Medicago truncatula: one gene and its partner. The main gene of each other region encodes a partner of the protein of the gene in region 2 in a complex. Links are inferred from orthologs where the notes say so. Each region holds a gene or a part of one and is shown on either strand. Other genes may lie near its edges.

Region 1 (7,042 bases), on a different chromosome or scaffold from region 2:
ATTTTGAATAATTTATGTGAATAATTACGATGTGTGATGTTTTGTGTTATATGTTGGTGAATATTAGTAGCTTATTATAGTAATATTAGTGAAGGAATAAAATTAAATAGAATAATGAGGCAGTAAGGGCAAAATTGGAATAAGAGGGAATGTGTTAGGTTAAGAAAAAGGAGAGGTTAGGAAAAGAAGAGTCAGACACGTAAAACAGTTTTTGGAGGAAACGTGAAAGTGAGAAGTCAGAGAAGAGAAGAGCATTGTGAGAGGGCAAGGGAAAGCTTAAAGAATTCAAAGTTCATCCAATCTAAGGTAAGGGTGGGACTAACCTTCTTTAATATGAGTTCTATAATTCTGAAAAAGGGGCTAACTTTGATGTTGTTGATAATTGTGATGTTAAAGAAATTAGGGTTTTGAATTACAATTTGATTCTTGAAAGTGTAAGTAATCCAATGAATTAATTTGAAAGTTGTTGTTTAGGTTGTAGAGTAACCCTAGGTAATGTTTCCTATCAAATTTGGATCGAATGGGGTCAAAAATTGAGATTTTGAATAAAAGTGATTTTAAGTGTTTTTGGGAAATAAATGATTCTGGGATAAGCTGTTTTGGAGATTTGAAAATATGATTTTTCAGTAAAATATGATAGGATTTATTGAATAGAACGCGTAGGCGAAAACGGAATTGGAATCGGGTTAACGGTTGAGTTTTTACGTGTGAAATGGTAAAACCGGGAAAAAACCAGGATTGTACAGAGCTGCAGCGCATGTCACTAGCTACTGCCTGACCAGGCCTGGGTGCAGCTCGCCAGCGCCTGGGCGCAGCAAGACAGCCCTCATGGGTGACTGCTTTATTGTGCCTTCGTTTGCGTGCTGTCAGGACTTCGTATTTTGAGTTTTTGTGCTTTTTCACCCTTTTTCTGATTTGAATTGGCTTTGGTGTAAACATGAAGGTTTTAGATAATTATGTTATCTTTCCAATGGCGTTAGTTTGACTTGAAAATGTTTTGTGGATTTTGAGTTATGATGAAAACACTTCAAGTAGGTCTTGGGGAAATTTTAAAGAAATTTAGCATAACTATTTCCAAGTCATTCCAATACTTATGGTTTGGTTTCTAAACTTCAAACTTGAGTATTAAGGGGTTCAATTAAGGTATGCATGCTTGAGTTTCGTAATTATAAGTGTTTGAATGAAATTATTGTTTATTTGCGAAGAATAATGTTGATTAATTGTGAAATTGTGATGCGAAGTTGATGTTGTTGTTGTTGCATTTTAATTGTGTCATTGCATAATCATTTCATTTTAATTACGATGGCCTGGATTGGCACCACGATGGCCTGTATTGGTGATTTATTAAGCGAAAGGGGGTTGTAGCCTATCAAAGCCGAATCACGGCATTAGCGAAGGGAGTTGTAGCTCTGTTGGTACCACATGCATAATTGCATTGCATTGCATTTTATGAGTCATGTCGTTGCACTGTTGAGCGAAGTTAATTGATGATTTGTAGTTGGACTTATGTGAAGCATTGTTAATGATGAATTGCTGATGTTTTGTGTTGTTAAATTATTTTAAATGAATTATTGCTAATTATTATCGAGTGTGAAATCTCACCCCTTCTGTTTGAATGTTACCTCTATATGGGTAACGTGCAGATATTCAGGAGTAACAGCTGATGTGAGTTGAATTCTTGTGTCGTCATAGGAGTCATGCTCTGATACGTAACGGGATGGGAATTCTTATGTGTTTTATTTACCATTGTTACGTATCTTCTTATAATTTGATGTTTTACCACTTTTAGGTGAATTTTATATATGTTGTTGATGTTGAGGCCTCAGTGCCAAGTAATGCTTAAAGATTAAATATTTCCGCTGCGACATTATTTTGAATTATTGAAAGCAGTTGTTTAAATAAATAGTGAATTTAACTCTATTTGTGTTAAATGATATTTTGAAGAACGAAATGTGACATTCTGTTTGCGATGAACTCTGATTTATTTTATATTATTTATATGTTGGAAAAACGGGGTGTTACAACGTGTCCAACCAAAAAGAAGGTATTAACCCCATCACCGACTACCCTCCTCAGGTTATCATTGAACCAAATTCCGACTCCCATCTTAATCCCTTCACAAATCTTTCGTAGATCCCTCCACCACACAGAACTATCCCTCCCCCCTCCAAAAGTTACCCCCAAAAATTCACCATAACGGGTTGCTAGGACTTCGTACCACAACCCTCCGCTATCTACATGCATCCTCCAACACCATTTATCTAACAATGTTAAATTGAATTCCTTCATCCTCCTAATCCCCAAGCCACCATTTTTTTTTTACCTAAACAAACAGACTCCCAACTGACCCATGGAATCTTTCTAGAATCTGCCCCCTCCGAAGAGAAAAAAACATTTTAAAATAGAATGTATAGAGGTCATTATACATGTGAGAGCCTTGAAGAACGAAGAAAAATAGATCGGAAGAGAAGGCATGATAGGTTTCATTAGAATGATACGTCCTCGAAAAGACAAGTTTTTATTCGTCCACCCTAACAATCTAGTTTTAATTTGGTCAACCAACGGGTTAAATACAAGCTCATCAATAAATGAGTAAGGATCCTCTCCATTTATGAAAATAAACGATGGATGTCATTTTTAAGAAATAGAATGTTAAATTTAGTGATAATCACAATAATTTCTTTACTCAAAATACTAGACCAAGTGTATTCTTACAGCCCATATTCAATTAATTTTTGCAAAATTAAAATAAAAATCAATTATTTTTTATCAAATAATCTAGTTATTATAAATTCACATTTAATGTTGTCATGAGCTTAGCTCAATTGATATAGACAATGCATAATATATATAAGGTTTGGGTTCGCCACCACAAAAAAAATGTAAATGAGTGTGAAATCTGGAATTCCAACTCAATCGTGTGCATTTTATCAACAAAAAAACAAACTCAATGGTGTGTGTGTATAACTAGTGTGTTAACCTGTGCAATGCACGAGTGATAAACTATTATTTTTCAATCTCAATTTTTTTATTTTTTTATTGATGAAAAGCATCTATGCACCGTGAATTTTGAAATATGTCAATATTGTTTTGTTAAAAATAATATGTTAATATTTTTTTAGCCACAATGATGACAAATATGTGTCACATGTTTTTATGTTTATCAGTGGTAAATATATATCCCGTGTTTTTGTGTATAAATGAAAAATATATTTATGGGTTTTAGTTTGTCGTCGATGAAGCGCCGCAGCGGCTGTCCTTTTAGAGTCTTGGTGTGTGTTGATTCTATTGTGGTCACTGGTTTCGTTCAACATCGTCGACGTCTTGTAGAGCTATGGTGTTGACGCGATTATGAGTTAGTCTCAGTCTGTTTTTGGCTATTTTTTTTTCATTTTTGTTTATTGGCGTTTGTTTTCGTTTTGTTTCGTGGAAATGAAGATGGGTGGTGACTTTGTTTCGGCTCTGTGATTTTGTCTAAAAATCTCGAATCTGGTTTTTTGGATTGAAGATATGGGTTCTTTAGTTCTGGCTTCTTTGATGGATGCATATCTCGATTCAACATGACTGGTTTTATCTTAAGGTTCCTCGAAAGGGCTAGGTGCGTAGATGCTCTGTGTTGACGGTAGTATCGTTCATCATACCTAAAATATTTTATCCATCGTGGTTGCTTCTTGCATCGTTGGTGGACAGTGGTTGATTCTTATGTGTTGATTATACTTTGTTACTTTAGTATGTTATAAATGGTGTCATTAAAAAAAATTGTCTTAAATTGTGTAATTGAACTATGACTTTTATAATTCAACCTTACATTGCCACATGTAAATTTTCTTTTAAATTTGATCTTGAGATGTCATATGTATCGTTCATTTTAAACATTCTCAAATGTATCTATAGAAGATGTGATGTGTTATCAATGTGCTGCAGAAAAAAAATAATAATGTTTTTTTTTGAATGGCAGAAAAAAAAATTAATATACAAAAATATTAAAAAAAATCAATTAAATTCCAAATTTCCCCTTATCCACCTTCATTTTCATTTCATTCATCCCTTCTTGAGTCTTATCTCTCACTTCTTCAGACAACCCAGCAGTTTCCACCATGGCTGTATGCATGGGTTTCAACATAGCAACAGCATTCAAATCACTTTCTCTCTCTTCTCCCTCTTCTTCATCTTCATCTTCCTTTTTATCAGGTTCCACCACTCTTCGTATGACTCCATCAGTATCTCTCCCTCGAATTCATCATCGGTCAGCACTGATTATCCGGAATGCTCATAAGAAGGGAGCAGGAAGTACCAAGAATGGCCGTGACTCGGCCGGAAAGCGTCTCGGTGTTAAGGTTTATGGTGACCAGGTCGCTAAACCTGGTTCCATCATTGTTCGTCAGCGTGGAACCAAGGTGTGTTCATAATCAGTTTCTCTATTCCATTTTCAAATTTTAGACAAAAAAAAAATGACGTGTCATATGAATTTATGAAATTATGAACATGTTAATTGTCGTTAAGAATTATATTTTGGGTGAATTGAAAAAAATGAAATTGGTGTAGTTTGTGTTCAATTAGAGCTTATAGAAAGAATTAAAGAAAGGATTATAGATTGGTGTAATTGGCATGTTTAAAACCAGACACTGCCATCCAGAAGTCCTAGCTCATCTGACAAATGCCGAAATTGTTAGGCTGATACCATGACCGGGGTTCGAACCCCGGTACCTCCACTTGTGTGTGTGAGTTTATAATGGCTTTGCCATTTCGTCTATCTACCAAAAAAAAAAAAAAAAAACCAGACACTGCCTTGCTCTGCTTTGATATCCAAATTATCAATTACGAAATGTCACATTTTTGTTTTAATTAATCATTTGAGTCTGATATATGAGACTATGAAGCACAGACACCTCTGTCATTAAGGTCTCTGTGTCCGACACACGACATGTGTCCCCCAAAAAAATTATTTGCTTCAACACACTTTTACACTCCTTCGACACTCCTCGTAAACTTCTATGAGGCTTAAAATTGTGTTGAAGTAGTGATGATAAATGAAGGGGTTGAAGATATCATTTTTTTTTTAACTTTTCTGTATAGTAGATGAATGGATGGATGAGGTGAAAATTTGTTATATTTTGTTTAATAACTTTGTACCAAATGGCTCAATTTAGACGTACATATATATTTTAGTTCTCGATTTAGATCTTTAATAAATAATGCTCATATCTTATTTAATAATTATAAATAAATAAATATGTATGTATCAGTGTTTGTCCTATATTTTTAAAATTAGCATTGTCAATGTGTCCGTGAGGTGTCAGTGTCAGAGTTCGTTCTTCATAGCTTACTCGTAAGTACGCTTTGACACCACTCGTTTTTTAAGTCCTACGCTGACATTTGGACGGACATCCAAAGAGAGTGAGTTGGCAATTATACTATTTTGCCGATTTATATCATTAATTTCAAGATGCAATTATAAGAGTGAGAGTTGCAAAAATAGTGAGTTTTTATTGTTCTCTCTAGTTATGGGTTTTTTTTTGTTGTGGTTAGTCACTGAAAAACCCTTTTTCTTTGTTATGGGTTTTTTAAGTCAAGTTAAATGACAGAATTCATCTTCTATAAGAACTTGTTATTTTAAAAATTCTTAGATATTGTCTCTTTTTAATAAGTGTTTCCTTAGATGTTTAGGTCAATCAGAACAGGTAAAACATGTCTACTTTTGCAATTTATATGCTAGAGCCTAGAATTCCATATGAAGGGAACTAAGAATGATTAAGGTCTTTTGAATAATTGAGTTGCATTGTGTAATTGACAATATCACCATTGATACGATTGTTTTTTATCAGTATGGTAAAGTTGTAAGCGATTCCACAACTTTTATTGCACACTTTATACTGACTGAAAGAACTTCTCATGTTTGTTCTATACTGATTGTAATAAATGCTATTATGGAAATAATGTGGTCAATTTTTTAAATCGCAATCACGGTTAGTGGTGATCCTGGATATTATGGAAAAAAACATGAAAAAACACGGTCAATGTAGCTACTTTTTGCTGTTGCGATGCGGTTGCTGAGAGTTGAAAAACCTTCACATTGAGTTTGTATTTGTGGTTATAGGCACACAGAATATAGTAAATCATGATAAGGTTGTTACAGGCACACACAATATAGTAAATAGGTGCATTTGTTGTAGCAGTTTTTAAGATATTGTTGAATCTTTATTGCCTTGCTGTTTTTCTGACAATAACAACCAAAGTATTTTTTTTTTCCGATAGACTTGGCTAAATGCATCTAATGATGTTGTAATGTGAATGTCCTATCATGAAACTTACTGTTTCTCTAAGTTCTAATATTTTTTTCTTTGCAAAACTTGAAGTTTCACGCAGGAAAGAATGTAGGGATTGGTAAGGACCATACCATTTTCTCCCTAATTGATGGAGTTGTAAAATTTGAGAAATATGGACCAGACAAGAAAAAGGTAAAAAATAGTCTTTCACTGCTTTCTGTATATGACCTGTAATCCTACAGTACAAATTAACTAGCTAATAAAGTTGTAAAAATATTACAGATCAGTGTTTACCCACAAGAAGAACGGGTTCCGAACCCCGATAGCTATAGATTAAGGAAGATAAAGTACTTCAAGATGAGGCGTGAACGCAAAAAGGCTGCTAAAGAAAGAAGAGCTTTTCAACCACAGCTAATGCTCGCTTCCGTTGATGATACCGCAATAGAGAATCCAGATTGTTGATTCTATACTTCATTCACTTCACTGTGTAAAATCTAGCTGTCTTCAGTTGTTTTTCTTTTGTGTATCTGGGAAACCTTTAGCATTGTAATATTGTATTTGTTTTCTGGCAGCAAAATTGTACCGTACACGGCCAAAACTGTTCCCTAGTGTCCCCAAACCAATTACAAGACAGTATAGCCATTCACTATCAATTTGTTTGGGTGTGTAATTTTCTTTTTGAGTAAATGAAATGGTCTTTTGCTTTGTTTACATGATGTAACTCACATTTCACCTTTACAAGCTACCTAAGTTGATGTTTAGTTTCCCCCAAGTTT
Region 2 (5,520 bases):
GTAATGCTAAAATGACATAGTCATTGCAGTAAGTCAAGAAGTTCAATTGAATGAAGATTAAGCCATGAAACTCACAGTTTCAGTTGATTTTCCAATCCAACTTACCGCACTAAATATTAATCCAATTGAGTGAATGTGTGGTATTGTTACATAAGGTAATACATGTTAAGAGTTCTACGTTGGATAAAATATGACCGAAAAGTTGGTTTTGTAAGGCTTAAGTTAATCCCAACCCAAATTCTGAGACTCGGTATAAATGACAAACACTTCAAGTTGAACGAAGTCTCCAAAATATAACACTCAAATAAACAAAGGGAAAAAACACAACATCAAAATGGTACATGCACATAATAACCAATAATTAGTGAAATTGCATCATTCAATGGGAACAAAATTATCCATCAATCATCTCTACACTAACAGAAAAAAATATTGAACCATTCGACAATTTCTGATACAACAAGCTCAAAGCATCAAATGCACAGTTGTACACATAATCTGAAGGAACATAAACAAACATACTCAAATACAATAACCAATAATTAGTGAAATTGCATCATTCAATTGGAACAAATTATCCATCATCAGTATCCTAAGAGAAAAAATAATTGCATCATTCTACATTTTCTGATACAACAAGCTCAAAGCATCAAATGTACACTTGTATTGTACACATAATCTGAGGGAACATAAACATAAATAAACATGCTCAAATACAATAAAACAAAATCCACATTGTAACATAATTATAAAATCATAAAACAAATACACAAACAAGATTGAAAAAACTTATCTATAGAACAGCACTACCCTGTTCCTGTTCTTCAAGCTTCTTAATATGTGCCTTAAGAACCATAATAAGTTCTCTAGCAGGAGCTTGAATGGTAGTAACCAAAGCAGAAGAAGGACTTTTCAATGAACCCAACAAATTAGCATAAATCTCGCCACGTGTCGGCAATGTTTCAAGTTTCTTAAACTCATCAGGACCATAAAATTTCCCTTCAAAAACAGCACCAGTAAAATCATTTTCTTCAAGCTTCTTCTCTTTCTGAAAATCTCTATAAGGCTTAATAGCAGAGGGAATCTCTTCAGTATGAACAAACAACCACACATTCATACCTGTCATACATGGCTTCAACGTCTCCCATTGTGTTCCTTCAAGTGCTTTATAAACCAACGTGTTCTTCGCAACAACGAGTTTCGTTGTTTCAGGAAGAGTTTTTCGAAGTTCTTGAAATTGTTTTACGGTGAAGCCTTTGTAGTTGATTCCGGCGAGGAGGTAACAGTTTTCAAGTTGTTCTTTTACGGTTTCAACTGTTTCTTCTTTCTTTGTGCGTGAAATTGCGGCGTTGATGGATAAACGGTGGGTTTTGGAAATGGGTCTATGTTTGTATGATGTGGGTGGGTTGAATGGGTTAATGGGTCGGGTTAGGATTTGAAAAGATTGGGTTTTGGTGGATGGAAGAGAGAAGCTGAGTAGAGTTGCAGTAGCTTCCATGGTGATGATGGAAATGGAAGATGAAGAAAACTGAAAATGGGATAAAAGGGTTGGTTTGATTCATATTGGCTTATCTTATCCCTTTGTTTCTTTGGTTTTTCATCAATCACAATGGGGGCAATATGGTACTTTGCAATGGGTTTCAAATTTATTTTATTTTTTCAACTTTACTTATTTTTTAAATACTTGTATTAACTACTCAATAATATTAATTACTACCTCCGTCCCTAATTATAAGACCGTTTTGAAAGAAAAAAAAATTGTCCCTTTTTATAAGACTCATTTTCTATTTCCAACTACATTAATTATTTCTTTACATACATGCCCTTATTTATTATACATTTTTTTTCAATCAACAATAAATAACATGTTGAAAACATAAATCAACACTCTCTTAAAAGATAAAATTGTAAAAATAATAGTAATTACAAACATATTTAATAAAAATATTCACTCTCTTAATTCCCGTTATTTTTTTAAAAGGGTCCTATAATTAGGGACGGAGGTAGTATTCAATAACTTGTCTTCGTGACCTAAGCTTAGTTGGTATGGATTTATTTTTTAAATACTTTAGAAGTCTATTAACTATTCAATAATTTATTTTCGTGATCTTAGCTCGGTTGGTATGAACAATGCATAATATATGCAAGATCTAGGATTCAAAACCCGGCCACCAAAAAAAAAAAAACTATTCAATAATTTTGAAATTGGTTTCTAAACTAAATAAAATTATAATTAGGTTAATAAATTAGTAAATAATTTATAGTTAGATTTATGAACAAGGTTTTAGTTGAGTACTTAATTTTTTAAAAGGAAATGTTAACTTATGCTCTTGAGACATAAGTTTAGAAACTAAACATAGAAATATTTTCTTGAAAATTGTGCATTCAATGTATAAAAATCTTAAATTTTATCTTTTCAATACAAAAGTTATATTTTAATTCTCTTTTTAGCTTTTTAACTTGTATCCTTAAGACACGAAGAGTTAGCATGACTCTTTTCTAAATAATGTGTAATTGAGCTTGTATATTTTAAAATAATTTGTGCAAAGGTCTCTAAACTTGTTGGTAATTGTGAATTTTATTATAAATTATTAGAGTTTAAGAATCATTTGTAGACTTATTGCATTTTTGTTATGTGTATTTCACCAAAATTGCAATTATGCTTGACTTAGTCTAGTTAATTGTGATTGTAATTATTTAGCAGAATTTGAGTTTGATTTTTAGTTGTAATAATTTTCGATCATATTTTACTTACCTCTGGTCGAACTATATTTGAATGACTCGTTTTTCCTTAAAACGAGATGTTAACACCAAAAACATTAATAATTACATTAACAGATTTTTAATCCTCAAAGAAAATGACTAATTAATTGAACGTATTTCCAACAAGTTTTTTTTTTTTAAGGAAATGTTTGTAGTATTTCATTAGATTTTAATTCACAAATACACAGTGCCAAGGCATGAGCGATTTGATTGGTTTTTCTCCGACTAAACTCGACAAGAGAGTTTTTAAAAGCAAAATTACAATGATGTCTACATTCATACATGATTTTATCAAACTCAGTAATAACATTGCTTCCTTTCTGTAAATAATTCATCACCTTCATTGAGTCAAGAATAAAATCCATGTTATGAGAAACAACAACAAGGCTGTGAGGAACGATCCTGGTTCAGTTAATGTGCAGGCACGTGATGAGAAACAACGTTTAGCTGTGAGTATTCAGGAACAGGCGAAGAAAGTGCAGGTGAACCAGAATGTTGTTTCTTTCTATTTTACAAATATTCCTCTTGATATATCATATGTTTCATTGAGACAAGGTTTTGAGGTATGTGGTATATTGGAGGATGTTTACTTGGCACGTAAACGTAATGTTAATGGTGGTGCGTTTGGTTTTGTTCGTTATGGCAAAGTGAAGGATGTAGAGAAGCTCTTGAAGGCTTTGAACAATGTCTGGTTTGGAGATTGGAAGGTGGTGGCTAAGGTGGCGAGTTTTGGTAGGAATGGAGGTGGTAGGGGTGAAGGCAGTGTTAGGGGAGAGGGAGAAAAAATTAATGAGGGAGATAAAGAATTAGAGGGAGAAAAAAGAGAGCTGGGGGGAAGGAAGGTTGTTGACGGAGAGGCTCAAGGTGAAGGGAGGAGTAAGGGGCTTGAGGGAGATGTAGCTGCGAGAGGAGGGGTGGTTAGTAGAGAAGAAGCTGAGGCAAGGGTGGAGAAGAGGGTGAATGTGAGAGAACCGGTTGGTGCGAAGGTGGTTGTGGGAGAGGCTGCGAAGATCCACATTCCTAAATATACCTCCAAGGATCAGGATGTTTTATGGGCTAGTAGGGGATGGTTGCTACGGTTTTGAATGGAGATGCGATCCCTGTGTTGCAGCGACGTATTTTTGATGCGGGCTTTGAGAATTTAGACATAATTCCTTTGGGAGCTGATAAGGTCTTATTGAGAACTGAAGATGATAGTGATGTTAACTTATTGTTGGCTGAAGCATCGGAATTTTTTGCAAATTTTTTTTCTAATATTATGAACTGGAGGAAAGATATGGTGGTTCGCGAAAGAGGAGCTTGGGTGAGGATCTATGGGGTGCCGTTACAAGCGTGGAACTTGGATTTTTTCAAACTTTGTGTCTTTGACTATGGTCGTTTGTTGAAATTGGATGATTCCACTCTGGAAAAAATCCGGTTTGATTATGCTCGGGTTCTTATTTCTACGCCTTCTGTGGATTTAGTTATTTCAGATGCAAAGGTGATGATAGATGGAGCTATTTATGAACTTAAAATTGTGGAGGAGGGAGGGTTTTCGTTGGGTGAAGATGCTTGCTTATCGGAGGATGAGGAGGTTAAAGAAGAGGAGGATATGGAGGATGAGAGAAATATTGGGGATTTACATGTTGATGGTGAGGTTGATAATTTGATGAAGCATCTATCAGAGGAATGGCAGAAGGAGCAGCAGGACCTTCAGGTTCATAAGGTTATTCCTATTAACGATTTTCCTTCACTTGTTGAGAGTCCGGTGGTGGGTACTAAAGAGGTGTCGAAGGGTGTTACGGAGGTTTCCTCTCAAAATCCTTGCGCAGCTCAAACAGTTCCTTTACAACAAGCTAACAACAAGGTTGTTTTGGAGGATGATATCGCACGAGCTGATTTGGATCGAATTTCTTGTAGTGGTGCTAAGAGGAAGAAGCATCGTACGTCTTCATGTCATGTCCTCCTAGTCGGGTCCATACTGTATCGGCAGGTCCGTGGAGTTGGGAATGGGCACGTCAACATAAGGAGTTGGTGATTGGAGATGCAGCACCTGTTGAAATTTTAGACTTTAACAAACAGACTTCTAGTGCTATTAAAGTCACGAGAAAGAAGGGTAATAGTTCTTTTCGGCACTGTGCAATGAATTTGAAGCGTATTGCGAGGTTATCAGAGGAAGACCGTAAGGTTGTTTTGCGTGCCTTGCGCAAGAAGAAAAGGAGACATAAGGTGGTGTCAGATACTCATGTTAATAAGGTAAATTCGCCGGTTAGCTCTTCTGTTAATGATTCACAGTCATCTGTTAATTACGACTGGTCGAGTTGGTTAGTACTTCATGGTAATAGCAAGGCTTTATCGGATGATGTTAGGGGGATGGGAAAGTTAGTGGGGGTGAATTTTCAAGGGGATATTCAAAATAGGTTTGATGTGTTGTCAGGTGTTGGAAGAAAAAATAAAGAGGTTGATGGTGGAGAGAGGTAAGGCCGAGGGTTGGGATGAGGAGGTAAGGGTGTTTGTGGTGTTGTGGAGTGGGTAGTGTTAATGAAGATTATTCCTTGGAATGTTAGGGGCTTGGGTGGGTTTGAAAAGAGAAGGGAAGTGAGTAACTTGGTGAGGGAGAAAAATCCGTTTATCTTATGTTTACAAGAATCTAAATTATCTGTTGTAAATGATTTTGTGTGTAAAGGCCTATGGACTGATAACCGTGTTGATTTTTCTTATCAACCTTCGAGTGGGGCTTCAGGAGGTTTAATAACTCTTTGGAATTGTGAAGAGGTT

The links. Proteins that work in one complex are often made in the same cells at the same time.
Region 1: 50S ribosomal protein L10, chloroplastic (region 2) and 50S ribosomal protein L27, chloroplastic share a complex: the UniProt entries of both Arabidopsis thaliana proteins name them as parts of the 50S ribosomal subunit. The link is inferred for Medicago truncatula from reciprocal best matches to the Arabidopsis thaliana genes EMB3136 and RPL27.

Annotation. Positions count from the first base shown.
Region 1 is NC_053044.1:6,288,304-6,295,345, reverse strand, and holds the start of 50S ribosomal protein L27, chloroplastic, read left to right. Parts: upstream 1-4,017; 5' UTR 4,018-4,097; coding exon 4,098-4,397; intron 4,398-6,356; coding exon 6,357-6,458; intron 6,459-6,548; coding exon 6,549-6,728; 3' UTR 6,729-7,042.
Region 2 is NC_053045.1:63,051,371-63,056,890, reverse strand, and holds 50S ribosomal protein L10, chloroplastic, read right to left. Parts: upstream 1,568-5,520; 5' UTR 1,499-1,567; coding exon 794-1,498; 3' UTR 523-793; downstream 1-522. UniProt on the Arabidopsis thaliana protein: This protein binds directly to 23S ribosomal RNA.